Linked DNA regions of Schizosaccharomyces pombe. Each later gene encodes a partner of the first gene's protein in a complex. Each region holds a gene or a part of one and is shown on either strand. Other genes may lie near its edges.

Region 1 (5,237 bases):
GGACTCAGGAATTTGGAGGCTTATGTTCATTGCCTGCAATGAAGCCATATACAATCATTTATGATAAACGCATAGCTTTTTGTGACTTTTATAAAGGGATTCCCATTAATTTATAGAATATTCATATAACGGTATCATGACTTGACTGAAAGAGGGAAGCCGTGTACATTTTAAAAAGTGTAAAATAAACACGTAATTACTTTTTATAGTATACAATTTAAGTGATACTAATTTTGTGATTAGGAAAGCTGGTAATGTCATCCTTAACTGGCTTTGCTCTTGCAAAACTAAGCTTTTCTCGAGCATAAAGACCAAATTCTTTTATATTTTCAACACCAATTGTTCGCATTATCAAACAGGAAGCGAAGGTAAAGGTTGAAACAGTTAATACTGATGTAAATGAAAACAATTTCCAAGTAATCAAAGTTGGATGCACCATTTTCTCAACAACTGGGTTTGGAGAAAAAAAATTAGGCCGTTTTAATATTGTCCGTTGTAGAACCCATGTAGACCAAAGGAAAGTTGAGCTAGATATCGCAAAAATCGCGTCCACTGTAGCGACATTTGCTAATTTATCGAACGCCATACAGTAGAAGTTAGCCAACTTTATCAATTGGTACTTCCACAAATCTGGGAAAATAAGTATATAAATCACCAAAATAGGTTTAGCTAGCACGGTTCTTCTACAATTCACGTGTGGAGAAACAATTCAGAATGATTGAGTTCGAATTCTTTTACACACATAAAGAACTGCGGTATTGATAAATTGGGAGACTGAGCGAAATATTTGGAAAAGACATTTTGTTTCATAAAAAGGAAATTTAGGATAGCAGCTCAAAATTTACGATATTTTTGTTAAGTTGTAAAAGAATTGGATAGTATATGTAGGTGCATCCCAATAACTCCAAAATTTCCCGGGTGCACGATCTATTTCGTGAGCATCTGCGCAACAAAGTTAATATAAATAAAAAATCAGTAAAACCAACATACCAATTTTAAAGGCTATTGATTCGTATGGTTCAGCAGCCACTACCAGATACTGAAACTTTCGGTCAGGAGCTTCAACACGCTGTTCATAAGCACTCATAATTCTGTATCTTGGCTTAGCGTTCACTTCAATATCTGGATACTTTATTTGGAAACGTAGGCCAAATTTTCCGCTTTCGGCTTCTCTTATTTTGGACACTTTATAACCGGGTCGACCAATTTTTACGACACTTTTTTTAACCTGGACATGGGATTGAGAAATGCCCAACAACACTTGTGGTGCATTCTCTTGAGACTTTTTATTTTCGAGAGCCTGTCTCCTGGCTAAATTTGTCTGGTGTTTTTTACCTTGTGTATGGGTAAGGTAAGAGTTTTCATTCGCATGTGTAGTGAGGCAAAGACGACATTCAAAAGTGCCTAAATGATTTTTCATCAAATATGGATCCTATAAGAGATTAGCAATAGAAATATCATCGCAAAGAGTTTGAGGAGGAAGCTTCAAGGTGATTGACAGGGTAAAAAAAAGATGTCCAATTAGTGTAACATGCAAAACAGCAAACAAGGAAGTAGAAAGCAAATCCTTTTCATTTATTATTGTTGTTATTTTAGTTGTTATAGTTAGCGAATTTAACAGCAACTACTAATAAACTTCAATAATATGTAACATACGTACATGTCTTACTTTACACGATTAATTCATCGGTAATTATAATTGACATTCAGCACTCAAATTTTCAGAATTCAGTGGTTTTTAAACATACCTTTGATAAATCAATGGTTTCTAGCGCCAATTTACGAAGACGCTCTCTACGTGCAGCATTTGTTTCTTGATAGCCAGCAACGCCTCCTCCTCCAAAACGAACACCTGCGCGGTTTTGATAATCCATTTTTTAGTTCCTAGAAAATCCAACACTTATTTTTCTGTACTTTCACAATGACAATAAAGTCCCCTAAAAGACGGTGGCAGAGGCTGTACTTTCGTGAACCCCTATGTTTAAAGAAATATCGCAATGCAGAACAATACGCTAAATTCTCATCGTCGATGCCTTTTTTTTAACAAATATTTTAAATAGCAGATTAGAGCTCCTTTTCTCCATTTTATTATGTCACGTAAAAACAAAAAAAAATAATAACTTTTGATAAATTTAATGTATTGATGCTCCCATATATGAGTATATTTAATATGCTTTCAATATTTAAAAAGCCGGGACTGCAGCAATTTGCTTCCAATTTAAAATACTGGGTATTATTAATAAAATAAAATAGATAAAAGAAAGTATAAGATGTCATTTAACTGCTAAAACCTTTTTTGTACTATAAATTATCACTTTTAGCCCATGAATCGAATTCATTAAACTGATGGATTTTACTATTTGGTAATCTCATGCCAATTATTTGTTGGGAAAAAGCAAAAGCGATATCAAATTTTAGGGGTTCAGGTTGCTTTCTTTAAGGGCGTATAAAGAATGGTTAATGAACTATTTATTAATAATAATAGTATTATTATTATATTACCGACATTCCAGTGAATTGAATGAAACTATTAAAACGTAGTTATTGGATTTTAGCAAAGATTTTAATTTATTGTAACACAAATATTTGAAATTTAACACTTCGAATGTCAAACGGTGCTACACTGATTCACTTCAACCTTTCTAATAACCAGCTACTCCATCACATCTCAAATCTCTTCATTTTGCACATTTACGTTCATATATAATTTTTATATTATTTTTTGAAATTTTTTCTCTTGAAATCCAGTCACCTGCTTTCATTCCTATTGCTTTATGATGTTTATGCAACAATTTCGAAATTTGTTGCATCCTGCCATGAAGGGAGCCAGGAATATTTCAATATTAGCTGGAGGAGGAACTATGAGAGGGTTTCCGACAAGAAACCCTTTTAATACCGCTACTTTATACAGTTCTTTACCGACTATGAACATCTTCGGTCAAATGCAGCAAGTGCGTTGGAAAACGTATGGAAACGAGTATCAACCCTCAAATAGAAAGCGTAAAAGAAAACACGGATTTTTATCTCGAATTCGTTCTGTTAACGGTCGTCGTGTTTTACGAGATCGAAGACAAAAAGGGAGGATGTATCTGAGCCATTGAGTACATATTATCTTTTAATGGGCTCTAATTTGCATTAGTAACCTCTATCAATTCTTCATTTAAGTAATGCTTTCTAGTTTGTGATACATTTTCTTTCCATTGGTTCTTTGTTTAATTTTACTTGTTGAACTTTGAACTTTAATAACTTCTTTAAAACACGAGTTTATAAAATTTATTTTCCATGTCTGCGACTATATTTTTCATGAACAATTTTCCATCATTTATAAAATAAACCGTAATTTTTTTATATATTGGGTGCGATCATATCGGACTTAACCCACTTTTCTACCGTTTCTTTAGAGGTGCTTAAAAGCAAAAATTGTCTAGCTTCTAAAGCTATCCATAATTGAACCATTGGGTTTGTGAGTGAGACATTGGATTTCGATGAAGCAGAACGAAGATATGGTGTAGCATTACTTAATAGATCCATTTCTGGATATAGTTGGCGTCCAGCGCCTTCAACTAAAAGGATAGATAGCACAGTATTTGCGAAATTTGCTTCAATTCGAACATGATGCTCTCTCGCCATAGTCATTACTTCTTGTAATATAGTTCCTATTTGAAGTGATTTCAGTGAAAGCGTGCTCTTTTGAATTTCATTCAACAAATGTTCCATTTTAAGAGCAAATATGTCTTTGTTTATAACGCGTTCTGTCTGCCTGCTCCTTTCAACCATCAACAGTCCAGCCTCATAGCCATGGAAAGTAAGTACGGCTTGAAACAGATCCAAAAAATTTTTCTGATCCTGCGTACTAAGTTTCGTTACTAATCCAGCATCCAAAAATACTAAAGTCGGTCGATAGCCCAAGATGTTTAATTCTTCCATAGCAGAATCCCATTCCTCCGTCGAACATGTACTTAGAATTTTATAAATTGAGTCATTAATCTCATTATCTTGATTAAAGATTGTTTTAGGGATTCCTTTGTAAAATTTAACAAGGACATTACCCGGATGAAGATCAGCATGTGTAAAGTTGTCAACAATAAGCATTTGAAATAATGCATTATTTCCTGTGTTAGCTAACAACTTGTTAAATGGTCCTGACTTATGTTTGAGGAACGCGCTTAATGGGATACCCGGCATATAGTCTTCTAGTAGGATTTGATTAGTCGTGTAATCATCATAGGGAGCTGGAAATTCAACATATCTATTTCCTCTAAAGTTAAGACGGAACTGGTTGAGATGAAGCGCCTCATAATGTAAATTCAATTGCTGGTTTAACATTGCCCCAAATACCTTAACTTCGTCGGGCAGAGAAAGCCACTTCATTGAAGGTACCAAATTAATTAATTTTGCGAAGAAACCTAAGATTTGTAAGTCTAAAGAAATGTATTTTTCAACATTCGGGTGCAAAACTTTAATGGCTACATCTTGAGTCACTGGCGCATCAGAGATATTTTTCTGTCGAAACCCTATAGATTGTAGCATACTTGTAAAGTAGGAATTATCTTGCTGCGTAGCTGCTTTCTTGATGGTAGCCGTATAGACTTGAGCAATTGCTCCAACACCTATAGGTATTGGGTTAAAATTAACAAAAATTTCCTCGATAGATTCCACTTTATAAGTCTTGCAGATGACTGATTGAGTATAGGCAAGGCTGTGGGGCGTTACATGTGAATGTAATTTGGACAGTGTTTTACAGAAAGCAGGAGGAAACAAATCTGTCCGTGAAGCAGCCCATTGTCCCAACTGCAAAATAAAAAAATAATGTTAGTAACATGATAAGCGTAAATTCAAAACGTACCTTGATAAACGTTGCTCCTGCTCTTTCTAATTGAGTAACGAGGAAACGAAGCCAAATGGATACGGTTAAAGACGACAAAGATCGAAGATGCAGGAAAGAAATAAGAGCGATAAACGGTAAGGTAATAATAATTGGAGAGAAAATAATAAATAAATTAAATGACCTGAGGAGAATATTAAAAAATTGTTTTATTTTTCCAAAAATAGAACGAGGTCGATTGCTTCTCTCTTCTAATTCAAGTTCGTCAAAGGAGAAAATATTATTCTTTCGATTTTTGACTCTGTATAAAATCCATAATCCTCCGACCGTAAAAGGGAGGACAAGAAATGTAATCCTTAGTATCCTCCATTGCTTCTGGTCTTCACTTTTTTGTCGGGTTGTAAACTTTCTT
Region 2 (3,864 bases), on another chromosome or scaffold:
TCTTTCTAGATGCTTGGGCAGGCAAGAGAAATGCCTCTTCGGATAATTCAGAATCCGTGCTACTATAGGAATCCGAGTCATCGAAAGAATTTAAAACCGGTGAGTAGACTGGAAGGGAGACAGGCAAATAATTCTCATCAGTGATTACCACGCTAACACCAGAGCTACCAGAGAAAAAGACGAAAAGAACGTAGAGTAGATAATAAAGTATCATTACGAGACTCTGCCAAATACTCAACGAACCATCATGCAAAACAAACATTATAACAAGTAAAATAGTACCGGTAAGGAAAGCAACATCCCGAAGGAAGTGACGCCGAGGTATTTTAAATGGCTTTATTAAACATACGCTGCCAGCAACTATGGCTACGATGAAGAATGCAGAGCCCAAAAGTTCCCCAATAGCCATTCCCCCACTGTTGACACGTACAGCAGCGAACGTACTAAGAATATCAGGAGATCCATTGCCTAAAGCAAGAAAAGTAACGCCAACCACAGAATCGGGCAATTGAAGTAGCCACGAAATAGTAACCAAATTGGTACTAAAAAAATCACTAGCAGAAATTCCGATAGTTATGAAAAGGAAAATCAGCCATCCCACAATTATTGATAACACTGGGAATCGGAGACTGTTAATGGTACAAAAATAAAATTCAACGTAATCAAAGAACCCACTAGCCTCTCCCTTACAGTAAGCCTTTGCAAACCGACATTGATTAGCAGGGGTAATGTTTTTGATATCATTGCATGTAAGTAAAATTTGGTCGTTGCTATCATTTAAGGTATTTCCGCGCTCAAAAAGATGGACGGTTGAGTCCGAAGTCGAGGATACTGAAGCAAACGCTTTGCTAATCCGATGAGTCCAGAATAAAATGTAGGCAATGCCAAGGATACACCAAAGTAATATTAGTCTGTATTTCTTCAAGAAACATGAAGTTTTCGACATTTTTATACCTGATATCCAAGATATAGAAAATCCATGCTTAAACCGCATTGCTAGGTATTAGCAGCCCTTTTTTTTCTAAGATAGATGGGATGAAAAAGACTAATCCTATAATAAATATATAAATGCGCAGTACTCAAGATTGCCCCCAATTTTGGCAGAAAAAGTAAGAATGTAACTAGTATATTTAATAGAAGCAAACGTCACAACAGAATATCGATAAATATACGTGTCCGTAAACAATAAATAACAACAGTCAACGCAACATAAGGTATCGTAACGTAGAAATTTCTCCTTTCAAAGTGTATGCCCAATCATTAACAGATAGAATAAAGCAACAGTTGAAAAGGGTACCAAAATTTTTCAAAACAATAAAGAATGAGGCTGATAAACATACTAGCTATGAGCAAGATCAAAATACACAGCTCCATCCAACCCATTTGCACCTTCAGGATAAGTTCCTTTAGTGGCTTGAATTCGACGAGAAACAAAAGGCAAAAGCTTTGAAAGTTAATATAAAACAATATTCATTAATTTACAACATACCTCACAATCACCAGAAGGAGGCACAAACGTGCGAACACGCGACCACTGGACAAGAAAACCTCCATGCCTGGTTTTTTGACCCATTTTCCCAGTTCTTGTACCCTTGTAATACTGATGACCCAACTTTGTGGTCATTGGCAAGCGTCTTGCTCCAAAACATAATAATGATTGATGCATTTTGAATAACTCTCGATTTGGGTAAATGGAGGGTTTAAGTTGGCGCGTTTTCCGTCATAAAAGAAAAGGTAACGGTATAAGGTAACAGTCAAAGCGAAACATAGAATGTAAACAATAAAAATATTTGTTTAAAACGAACAAACGAATTACATTATGAAACTAAAAAATGAAATAAGTACGAAAAACTATTTTTTTTTCAACATTTAAATGAGCTTTCTTGTTGTTTATCTTTCTGCACAGTTCAATGAAAACAAGTACGGTTAATCTACAATTAAACGCCTCAAAATATGCCTTTAAAAATTTTAGTTATTAAAATCAGTTATTAAAAAATACTGTTACATCTCCCATTTCATTACTCGTTTGAGCCGATTTCCAACAGATAAATATATATTAAGTGTCCGTTCACGTTCGCGTTATTTATAACGAAATACGATGAGTTGTGGAATAAAGTGTTAAAGCTTTTGTTAAATGGCATTACGATTTATAGTGATGCTTAATGTACAGAACGTGGACAAAACCCTCGTAAGCATCAACATCTTACTTCTTCTTCAGCTAGTCGGCTGAAAACGTTGGCATAATGAATCAGCCAGAACGGTATGAGCTCATTGAGCTTATGGGACTCCCCAAGTAAGGAATAAACAATTTTACAAGGAATTGCATTAACCAGTGTAGAGTCACATATGAGCTCGATAGCAAATCACCTAATGCCGCAGTAGTTACTCTTGAAAAAGAGGATCATACATTGGCTAATATGCTTGCAAAGTAAGACTTCTAAATTTTTTTTTCTTTTCTAACTGCTTTTTCGAAGTCAACTCCTATCTGACGAAAGGGTTCTTTTTGCTGGTTACAAAGTTCCTCATCCATTAAATCACAATTTCATACTTCGTGTACAAACCGTAGAAGATTGTTCTCCAAAGCAGGTTATTGTTGATGCTGCTAAGTCCCTTATTACTCATCTGGAAGAAATCAAAGTTAATTTTATGCGTGAATGGGAGTTGAAAATGATATCTGTTGAAGGCGTTGAAATGGAGTTTTCCTAAAATCCACGGCTGCTTTTTCTCTAATATTTATTAGAGTTTTGTTTCAAAAAATACAGAATACCCTCTGTATGCATCTTTATTACAAAAATTTTGACTTTCGTTTTCGCAACTTCTGTAATTTGGACCGAAGTCGTATTAAAAGGGAAAATAAAAGTTTCTTTCTTTTTTGAAAACAGATGCTTTAAAAAAGGTGAAAGTTCTCCGATCTTTTATTGTATATGCTTCTTCATAAACCAACTAGAAAACTGCAGCAATGGCGATGAAAGTTTTTCTAGGTACCTGGATTATTCTCTGATATTGCTTTTTTTTTCAAAGTTGAATTTTGCTGAATGTAATCGAAGTGATTAATTTCCTACAGTAGGGCAGAGCATCGATTCTTACATTCAATCTTAAAAGAAATAAATTAATTAATGTTGTACTATTACAATTTATGTCATTGAATTATTCACAATCATCATTTTCTCTCCAAATGCTTTGCTTCAATTGCATTACGAAATTTGTTTATTCCTGTATTAGTTATTATTATAGAATACTTTTTGGATATGTAAGTAATTATATTTTCTTAAAATATACGATAAATATTCTTGCATAAATTAATGATACCCTATGCTTTGCACATATGCTCCATCTGCGTATCAGTTTTATAACGTCCGAATATCGCTAATAGTAAACGCTCCTATTACATTGTGACGAAAAGTTTGAAACTTTGTTCAATTTTTGATTATGAGCTCTAAATTATTTCAAAATAAGCTGTTATTAGCAGGGATTGGGGGATTTATGGTAGGCGGTCTAGCTTCTTGGGTTGTTTCCAGTGATGCCTATACAGCATATCATCGACTACCAGCAAGTGCGAAACATATTTCTGAAATTTCGAAATCGCCTGAAGCTGTTCAAATGATTGATAACATTTATCGCGAACGTCAACGCAGCATGAAAATGGAGGAGCATCCGTCCTTGCTTCAATCTAAGTATCCTTCCAATTTTCTTTCCTTTAAAGATGGATTGATACCTGTATTTAAAACATTTTATGACCCCGAACATGAAGAATGGATCAGCATTGGACTCATGGGTAAGGCTTTGACAGGATATCAGAAACTGGCTCATGGGGGCGCCATTGCAACTTTATTGATCGAGTCTCTTGAGACTGTTCGGAATCTT
Region 3 (4,019 bases), 420 kb from region 1:
GTTTTTCTATTATCTTGGCTAACATATATTCTAGTTTTGCTTCAAGCTATGAAGGAGGAGCCTGCTCCTGACTTTAAATGTCGTGACAAGTTTTTAATTCAAAGTATGGCTATCGGTGATGCTGATACCAGTAATGTCGAAAATTATCACGAGTTTTGGACTGAAATGGAAAAACAAGGCCGTTCCATTTTTGATCGTAAAATCCGCTGTGTTTATTCAACTAAGCAACCTCCTCAATCCGCTGATAAACAGGTTGAGAACACTAGTACTTCTAACCCCCCTGTTTCTGTTGAAGGTTCCGAAAACTTAGCATCTTCTGTCGGCGGCCCTACGGCGGTTGGTGTGTCTTTGGATGAAGCTCAAAATGACTTCAATGGAGCAAAGGATCATTTAAGCAATGGTGTTAATACTGTTGTTCCAGATAGTACCTTCCGCTCTACTTTCGAAAGTGCACAAATTCCCGACGCCAGTGTAGTTCAAACCGTTGTTACTGATGCTGACAATGGTGCTGCTTCTGTCAAAGATACCATTGTGACAGCCGAAAGTGCTTCTTCCAAAGGAGCCGATGTTGCTAGATCGAAGGTACAAGATATTATTGATAATGAAATTCCAAAGCCTTCAGAAAGCCCTCGTCGCTCTGTTTCTTCGACTCCACCAGTCCACCCCCCTCCTCCCGTCCCCCAAAATTTATCAGCTGTCAATGAAGAATTTGATACTAAGAAGAATGATTTCGATTCTAAACTTCCTGAATCTACCCCTGCCGTTGAAAAAGTTTCTGAAAATCTCGGATCTGAAACTCGTGAATCTTTACAAGGGGCAAAACCTGCTGCAGGTGCTCATAGTTCCGACAACGCCTTGGAACAAATCAAGCCCTCTTATTCAGCTGACCCTTCGAGTTCCACTGGTGCTTCTTTAACCGAATCTCCAGGAATTCCTCCCAATATTGTTATCATTCTTTGCCTGATTTTCTTCCTTATTGGCTATCTTTTCTTTTAAAATGTAAAGCGTAGATATGTTTAATAAGAAGTGTAAAATCTTCTCCCTAAGTTAATGGCTCTTGATTTTATTACTTTATATGGCCTTTGCTAAGCAAGGTTTTAGGTTGACGTTTGTTGAATTTGTTTGCTCTTCACAACGATAGGGTACTTTTTAGCGCGTTTATCTGGCTTTGGAGATAATTTCCAAATGTCGTTATTTATGTCGACGTCTCATGTTATCTACTTTTTACTCGCAAGAAAAGTTGTAGTCCTCTTATGGTTACCAGACATTCATTCTTACCAGTTCACAAACGTAAATGTGTCTTTAAATACATTACAGCTTCTTATAGTGAATACAATAACATTAATTTATATAAAATAATTTTTTTTGGAAAGAACAATATTAAAATGTGTTAGCTTTTTAGGGCATACGACATTGTGGAATGTTCAAACATTAATGCAAAAAATCAATGAAATTTAAGTGAGTAGGGATATGGCTTTTGTTCTTTGAACTACCTTTTAAAATTAAAGGAGATTTTAAACACTTATTTCGAGAATAATTCCTTCGCAATTTGCGAACTTACAGGATTATGGTAGGAACGAAATATGTTTGCCTTATAAGGGTGTTCAGCTCCATCGTAAATATAAAGACGTTTCATTCTCCTATCCCAAAGCTTATTTCTTGGAAGCATTCCACCAACTGCTCTTCTCAACAAATCCTTGTGCCCCCGTTTCGCAGCCATTTCTTCCATCGTCCACTCTTTAAGATGACCAGGCTGACCCGAATGTGAATAATATTTATGATTTTCGAGTTTTCGACCAGAAATCCCAATTTCAGAACAGTCAGTGACTACTACGACATCTCCACAGTCTGCTGCAGGGTGATAAATGGGTTTGTGCTTGCCCATAAGAGTAGTTGCAATTTGGGAAGCCAGCCTACCTAGAGGAACATTTTTTGCAGAAACATGATGCCAAACTTTGGCGTAAGCCAATGCTGTCTGATATTGTTAGTAAAAGAAACTGTCAAACTAATTTCATACTTGTCCATTCAACGTTGACATCGCGTTGAGATTTCTATATCATAAAATCCTCAGTTCCTTCTGATTTTTCTCTTAAAGCGACAGTACAATATCAGTGGTTTCTAATAAAAGAGAAGTAGGAAAATTGCTCAAATAATGTTTCCTCAAGCTTGTAGGTGTGGGTAAATATTGGATGCTAAGCAACTGTAGTAAGGTAACTGTTACCTACAAAATTTCTATTTTTCAAAAATGTTGTTTTATTTATTATTTCTTAAATATTGATTTTTCAATTCATAATACGAACCTCCTTTACTAATCATGATAAAGCTAATAGCTATTGCTTCAAAAAATACCATTTGTATATATTAGAAAAAATAAGGCAATGAACGATACAATGATAAAACTAATTTTTGATAAGCCCAAAGAATCACAGTAAATTGCAATAATATACAATTAACGCTTGATTACGAATTTTCCGTCTCAGGACCAGATTCATGCTGAATGTTTTCAATTTGACTCAACAGCTGAACCATTGTTAAGCCTTCCGGACCATACAAATATCGCTTGCTATACAAGTAGCTGCTTATCGACAATGGACGGAATTGTAAATATCTTTGCAATTCATGGAGGAGTATAGAGGACTCTTCATGGCCTATAAATTCCGCTAATTCATCAATGGTTTGTGGATGTTGAATATTCTGAACTCGTAAGAGACCCATCAAAAAGATTTGTATAAAGTTAATTTGATGTCCATCTAAATATTCAAACAAGAGAAGTTCTTTAGCAATAAAGCTTTCCACTTTCTTTAATAAAGATGCGCTAGAAGCTAGTTGGATAGGAGTGGGTATTTGATATTGCCTATGTGATGAAAGCGAGGGATTTTCATAGCTTTTCCATGCCTTTTGATAGATGAAACGTCGTACGCGTAGCAAATCGGCCAATCTGTCAGTGTTTTCGCTGGAGGAAAATGAAGGCTGCCGTAGTAATTGTCGTGAAATCGAATACTGATTTGACCCCAAAGATTGAGTATACCACTTCTTATACAAACTTGACCCATGAAATCCATAAAACACACAATCTACGTGTCTCTTACAGATGGGACATGTCAAGGATTGATCCATCCAGCGACATATGCAAGAATAATCGAACTGGTCATGCCCACATGGAGATAGCTGTGCCCGAAGACCATCTTTTTGTAAACATATAACGCAATCTCGACGAAGGTAGCGAGAATTTGACGAGTTTTTACGTACAAGGAATTGCTTTTTCATTCTTCTTCTAAAATTTAATAACTTGTTATATTGTATTTATGCACTAAATTAATTGATGTGTATGAAACCGCATGAATGGCAGAATGTCAAGTTATCTTGTCATCAAAAAACATTGTGTGCTTATTCTTCTTAATGGAAAATTATTCAAGTCATAATTTGCAAGACTTGTTGAATTTTTTAAGGTGAATTTTCACAATCGTCGTCTTACACTAGATGTAGGCTAAGTTATGAGAACAATTAACAATTCGCAGTTACTAAACTGAATCTCTTCTGTACGCTCTTCGTAACGTTAACTTAGCTTAACGCGGTTAATGCTATATGCATAATACAAACAAAGAAGTACATGTTAATGTTAGCAGAACTACACTAGCTATGATACAGTACGTTGCGTATCACTATATGTCATATGCTAAGATATTACTTAAGATTCGTTTGCTGATAGATGCGGATAAATTGCTTTTCTGCATACATAAATAAATTGCTAAAAACTATTAGAAAGATTGTAAATAGAGCTACCACTGAACCTCGTTCCTCAGCTCAGTTATTAGCTATATCGGTGACCGATACTAATAGACTTCTTATAACAATAAATATACATTGTTAGTTAAATATTGCATACCGCTATATTGTAGGTCGCTAGAGAAACGTACCGCAATTTTTCGTATCGTTAAACAGATACCGAACTGCGTAGTCAACAGTTAAAAAATATAACGAAGTAACCTGTATTGCACTGTACAGAAACTTTTAGGTAA
Region 4 (4,599 bases), on another chromosome or scaffold:
TGTTCTTCCACTGATACGTTGTCTTCCTTATCTAGATTAACAAGCCAAGACCCATTAAAAGCATCTCTACCATTACAAAGCCCGCCTCTTGCTCCCAAAACCGGTGTTTCTTTATCCCGTCCTCGACTTACACTCGATCAATCACTTGGCAACTTATCACTTGGCTCGGGAATAAATCAACGACGACAGGTACCTCGTAGTAATTCCTATGCTGGCGCATTTCCTTCAGTGGTTAGTGCTAGCTTGCCCACTAAAGTAGATTTGAATCATCAAATGGACGTTAGTGATGAGGAGCAGCGCTTTTTAAGTACGCCTTTAGGAAGCTTTGATGAAAGCATTTTGGGCTCATCACCTATCAATCGATTAAGTTCAAGCTTTAAGCAGTACACTTCTTCCTTGAAAAGTCCTGGTTTAAGTACTCGGACCAGCTCTACTATGAATTCGTTAAACAGTAGTAGGTTCGGCGCATACTTCTCCAAGTCTCGTTATGTTGAAGGTTCGGGTTCAATGTCTACCACGCCCTTAGCCACTAGTGTCAATAACTCTTATAAGTTACCTTCAGGTTTTAGTGTTCGTGAAGAGGCCGTCTTCAGCTCGCCAACCACTGAAGGTTCAAGACCTGTGAGTCTTGCTCGATTGAAGAGCGAGCCTATTTTTAGAAGTGATACAGCATCTCCGGAAACCATCGCTGGTCTTGGTGATACAAAAAATGATCCTGTCGTGAGTACCAATAATAGCGTATCACGTATAACCGTTGCTAATAGTTCTCCTCCGTGGAATAGTACGGTGGAAGAAGAGACGCCATTCCAAATGGATGATTAAAATGAATGCCGTCGAAAAATTTACAAAAAGCTTGAAATGTTTTATTAAATTATGCATTATTATTGATAGTTATCATATTTTTTATTTTCTCTGTGCTTATCGCATGTTTTCAATATGTTTTTAAATTGGGGTTAGCAACATATGACCCTGCAAAACGTCTTGTTTAAATATGCGAAATTTTTTTTTCTATTTCCAAACATTCTTAAATGAAAACACTGATTTTCTCTAAATTAATTTTTACCCACAGTTTAAAAAAAAAAACTCATTGTTGTGGTTCAAGTTAATATAGTTGATACATTTACTATCTCAACTTATTTTTTCATTATGGCCCATTAAAAAGAATTACTGTCTATTTGATGCGGTTTGTTTCCTTTTTTTTCCTACTGATCATTTGCTACTGCAAATGAGTTAAAATGCGGATCCAGCGTACCTTTACACCTAATAATTGGGGAATTAATGATATTTTATACTCGGTTTGCTTGATTGTTTAAAAGTGTCTGATGAATTTAGAACCAATAAATATGTGTCAAAATGGTGAAGAGATATGGATAGCTTCAACATATGGTCCAAAGCACGTTTTGAAAAGTCAAAAAAAGAAGCTCGTTGCAATGCTTCAAACCAAATTTGAAAAATGTTAATGAGGCAAACGATTGCATGAATGATTTAATAAGATTAGACAGTTTAAAAAGAATTGCGTTCTTTACGAAAACGTATCATTGAACTAAAAGTGATGTATGTACAGGTTGGTTAGTTTACCTTTTTACAGTACTATTTTTCTACTGATACCATCAGCACCATAGAGGTAAATACAAAATTATGGCGTTGCTAAAGAAATAAATAATAAGGGAAACCATATTCTCATAAAAAAAAAACGGCACTAGAATTACTATAAACGATATTGGGGGGAAATATTATTAGAGTATCAAAGATATGGGCATCTCAATAATGACTTAGCAAGTGAAAAAGTTAGATTTTAGGTATATTGGTCGGTTAGGCAGAGGCGTCCAAACTTTCTTTCTTTCTAGTCTTTGTTGACGACGCTGTAAATCGCGCAAGAGAGCTCGCTCATCTCTTAAAACAACAGTAACTCGAACCCGTGGAGATCTCTCAATGGCACGACCTCCACGGCCCATAGTGATAAGTTTCTTTAAATACTTTGCCTTTCCAACCCATATTTGATCAACGTAGAGAGTACTCTCATCAAGACCAGCTTCACGAACAGCGTTTTCTCGAGCAGAAACCAAAGCAGTTGCGATGTACTTGGAAATTTTTTTATCTGACATTTTCATTTGAAGTAAAGCATGATAAAATGGCTTATGGGCAATTTGACGACACAAAGCGCCGACTTTCTTTAAAGAGGAGCGAAGCACCATTGATTGTAAGGTGTAGGAAGGATCCATGGTCTCCTGTTTTTTGAAAGAAATACGTGACCTTGGTCTCTCTTTTACACGCTCTTCCTTTTGCTGACGATTAGAATCGTCCTTCTGGTTAGCAAGCATTGAGAAAATGTCGGACCCTTTTTGCGAACCCAAATTTGCAGGATTTTGTGCAGACTCCCTTAAGTAGGATCCATTTGAAAATTCTCTAACAAAAGAAAGTAATGGAAATTTGTAATGGTACGTTTTAGAATTCAATCCTATCGTGGACGATGGAACTAAAAAGCCCTTTGATATTTTCATAAATTGATTAATGTATTTCATAATTAAATCTTAAAAATTTTTTCCCAAATATTCCTTCCACACATAGAAGTCAACGTTTTCGACTAATTTGAGCAAATGCGCTTTCTCAATGTTGTAACAAAACCAGGTAAATATTACATGCCAAGGTGGTACTAATAGGAATTGCAACCTAACGAATTGCTAACTGTACTATGTTATAGGTCAGTTAGCATTTCCCTCCTTATACAGTTATAAAAATCTTAAATGAGAGAGCTCACTATCACTATGCAAGCTACTCAGTTTGTAAATCTATTTCAAGGATGGATAAACTACGATAAGGTAACTTTACAACGATGTTAACACATGCTTACATGCTTTATGCTGGCACACTAAGCTGCACATTGCGGGTATTATCTGAACGCGTTAAATGCATGGTCACGTAAAGACAGAAAACGGCCCTTGGCAGTAAACAAACAACCCATTTGTATGTTAGACAAATAATATTAGAGACAGGTGCAGAGACTGTACATGAATTGTTATTTATGATATCTTTTAGCTTCTTTGGGGAGGACGAGATTAATATTACGACCTAGTGGGCGCGTACTGAGATATTTTAGTACAATAACCTTTTGAAATTTTTTGGATATTATCCTTTTCTTTTTTATTATGGAACAAGTACAAGATGAAATTTGGAAGTTAAGTACGCTGGACGCCTGGGAAATGGTGAACAAAAATACAGAAGTTGTGTTTGATGAAATCCCCGAGCCAGAAACTTTAAGTGAAATGAAAAGACACCCATTGTATAGCAACATCTTTAACGCCGATAATAATACTACGAGTTTCACAGAACAAATCGAGACTTCTGAAACCTCCAAAACCCAAGACTCGGAGGGGAACAAAGTTGATAAAAATTTAAAAGAAAACAAGTCAATACGTCGTAAGAGAAGCATTGACAACGATTATGAATTGAGTAATGTAAAGAGAAATGATATAACATCGGGAAAAAATAGAGAATTCGAAAACGAACACCATCCCGCAAGCGATACTTCTTCTTGGCGGGAACTACCATCAATTCCAACGTTGGAAGAATTGACGTCAAAGAGTGTTGAATTACCTTCAAACAACATATACGGAGGATACAAGTCCTTTGAAGATTACTTATCTATACACTATCGGTTGCTACGTGAGGACGCAGTTTCCCCATTACGAGAAAGTGTGCTTCGGTACAAGGTAAACCCCAATTACATTACCGGCTCTTCGTTAGCCGTATATGATCATGTGCGGATAGATGGCTATACAATATCTTCCAGTGTTATAGCTGCAAAATTATCCTTCAGTGTTCGCGCTAAGAAAAAAATAAAATGGGCTACCAGTCGTCGTCTTATCAGTGGATCTTTAGTTTTATTAAGCAATGATGATTTCCAGACTTTTCGCATTGGAACTGTCTGTGCGCGGCCCTTGAGTGGCCTTAATAAACATCCTCATGAAATAGATGTCAAATTTGAAGATATTAGTATCTCTTTAGATCCTCGAGAAGAATATGTTATGATCGAAGCTACTTCAGGCTATTGGGAAGCTTACAAGCATGTTCTTCGTTCATTACAGAGGCTTTCTGCTAGCACATTCCCGATGAAGGATTACTTGGTACACTGTAAAAGTAATCAGGAGACTGCTAAACACATACAAAATAATCCTAGGATACGCATAAATTCTATCTTAAAAAATAACTCTCAAAAAATCGTAAATGCTCTTGAGCCGTTCGGTCCTGGCGAGTATATACTAGACTCGTCACAGTTAAAAGCTTACCAGTCCATGCTGACTAAGAGACTCTCCATTATTCAAGGCCCTCCAGGGACTGGTAAAAGCTTTGTTACTCTTAAAGCCATAGAAACATTACTTGAGAATACTCACTCCCATGTTCTTCCGATTTTAGTAGCTTGCCAAACGAATCATGCAGTCGATCAAATATTGATTCGTTTATTGCATCAAGGCGCTTCAGTAATGCGACTAGGTTCAAGAACGAAGGATCCTGAGATTGCAGCGGTTACGATTTTTCAAAAAGCAAAGCACACCAAGCATTCATTTAAGGCTGCTTATAATGAGATTCGTCACAAAAAGC

The links.
Region 2: mrx14 (region 1) and mrpl27 share a complex: the UniProt entries of both Schizosaccharomyces pombe proteins name them as parts of the mitochondrial large ribosomal subunit.
Region 3: mrx14 (region 1) and mrpl23 share a complex: the UniProt entries of both Schizosaccharomyces pombe proteins name them as parts of the mitochondrial large ribosomal subunit.
Region 4: mrx14 (region 1) and mrpl22 share a complex: the UniProt entries of both Schizosaccharomyces pombe proteins name them as parts of the mitochondrial large ribosomal subunit.

What each region holds. Positions count from the first base shown.
Region 1 is NC_003423.3:3,802,439-3,807,675, reverse strand, and holds mrx14 (mitochondrial 54S ribosomal protein bL34m), read left to right. Parts: upstream 1-2,647; 5' UTR 2,648-2,774; coding exon 2,775-3,101; 3' UTR 3,102-3,345; downstream 3,346-5,237. Other genes in the region: SPOM_SPBC21C3.06 (uncharacterized protein), read right to left, coding at 218-586; U2 snRNP-associated protein Sap62, read right to left, coding at 842-927, 991-1,432, 1,749-1,874; cqd1 (ABC1 kinase family protein ), read right to left, coding at 3,346-4,791, 4,847-5,237. UniProt on the Schizosaccharomyces pombe protein: Component of the mitochondrial ribosome (mitoribosome), a dedicated translation machinery responsible for the synthesis of mitochondrial genome-encoded proteins, including at least some of the essential transmembrane subunits of the mitochondrial respiratory chain.
Region 2 is NC_003424.3:1,431,710-1,435,573, forward strand, and holds mrpl27 (mitochondrial ribosomal protein subunit L27), read right to left. Parts: upstream 1,690-3,864; 5' UTR 1,667-1,689; coding exon 1,490-1,666; exon of another isoform or gene 1,445-1,489; coding exon 1,340-1,444; 3' UTR 1,064-1,339; downstream 1-1,063. Other genes in the region: SPOM_SPAC3A12.06C (sodium/calcium exchanger), read right to left, coding at 1-946; DNA-directed RNA polymerase II complex subunit Rpb11, read left to right, coding at 2,244-2,293, 2,339-2,428, 2,475-2,706; SPOM_SPAC3A12.08 (uncharacterized protein), read left to right, coding at 3,430-3,864. UniProt on the Schizosaccharomyces pombe protein: Component of the mitochondrial ribosome (mitoribosome), a dedicated translation machinery responsible for the synthesis of mitochondrial genome-encoded proteins, including at least some of the essential transmembrane subunits of the mitochondrial respiratory chain.
Region 3 is NC_003423.3:4,217,922-4,221,940, reverse strand, and holds mrpl23 (mitochondrial 54S ribosomal protein uL13m), read right to left. Parts: upstream 2,169-4,019; 5' UTR 2,039-2,168; coding exon 2,018-2,038; intron 1,976-2,017; coding exon 1,523-1,975; 3' UTR 1,325-1,522; downstream 1-1,324. Other genes in the region: scs2 (VAP family protein), read left to right, coding at 35-996; mrz1 (ubiquitin-protein ligase E3), read right to left, coding at 2,461-3,267. UniProt on the Schizosaccharomyces pombe protein: Component of the mitochondrial ribosome (mitoribosome), a dedicated translation machinery responsible for the synthesis of mitochondrial genome-encoded proteins, including at least some of the essential transmembrane subunits of the mitochondrial respiratory chain.
Region 4 is NC_003421.2:2,026,509-2,031,107, forward strand, and holds mrpl22 (mitochondrial 54S ribosomal protein uL22m), read right to left. Parts: upstream 2,627-4,599; 5' UTR 2,523-2,626; coding exon 1,773-2,522; 3' UTR 1,666-1,772; downstream 1-1,665. Other genes in the region: SPOM_SPCC1739.01 (zf-CCCH type zinc finger protein), read left to right, coding at 1-822; helicase Hrr1, read left to right, coding at 3,147-4,599. UniProt on the Schizosaccharomyces pombe protein: Component of the mitochondrial ribosome (mitoribosome), a dedicated translation machinery responsible for the synthesis of mitochondrial genome-encoded proteins, including at least some of the essential transmembrane subunits of the mitochondrial respiratory chain.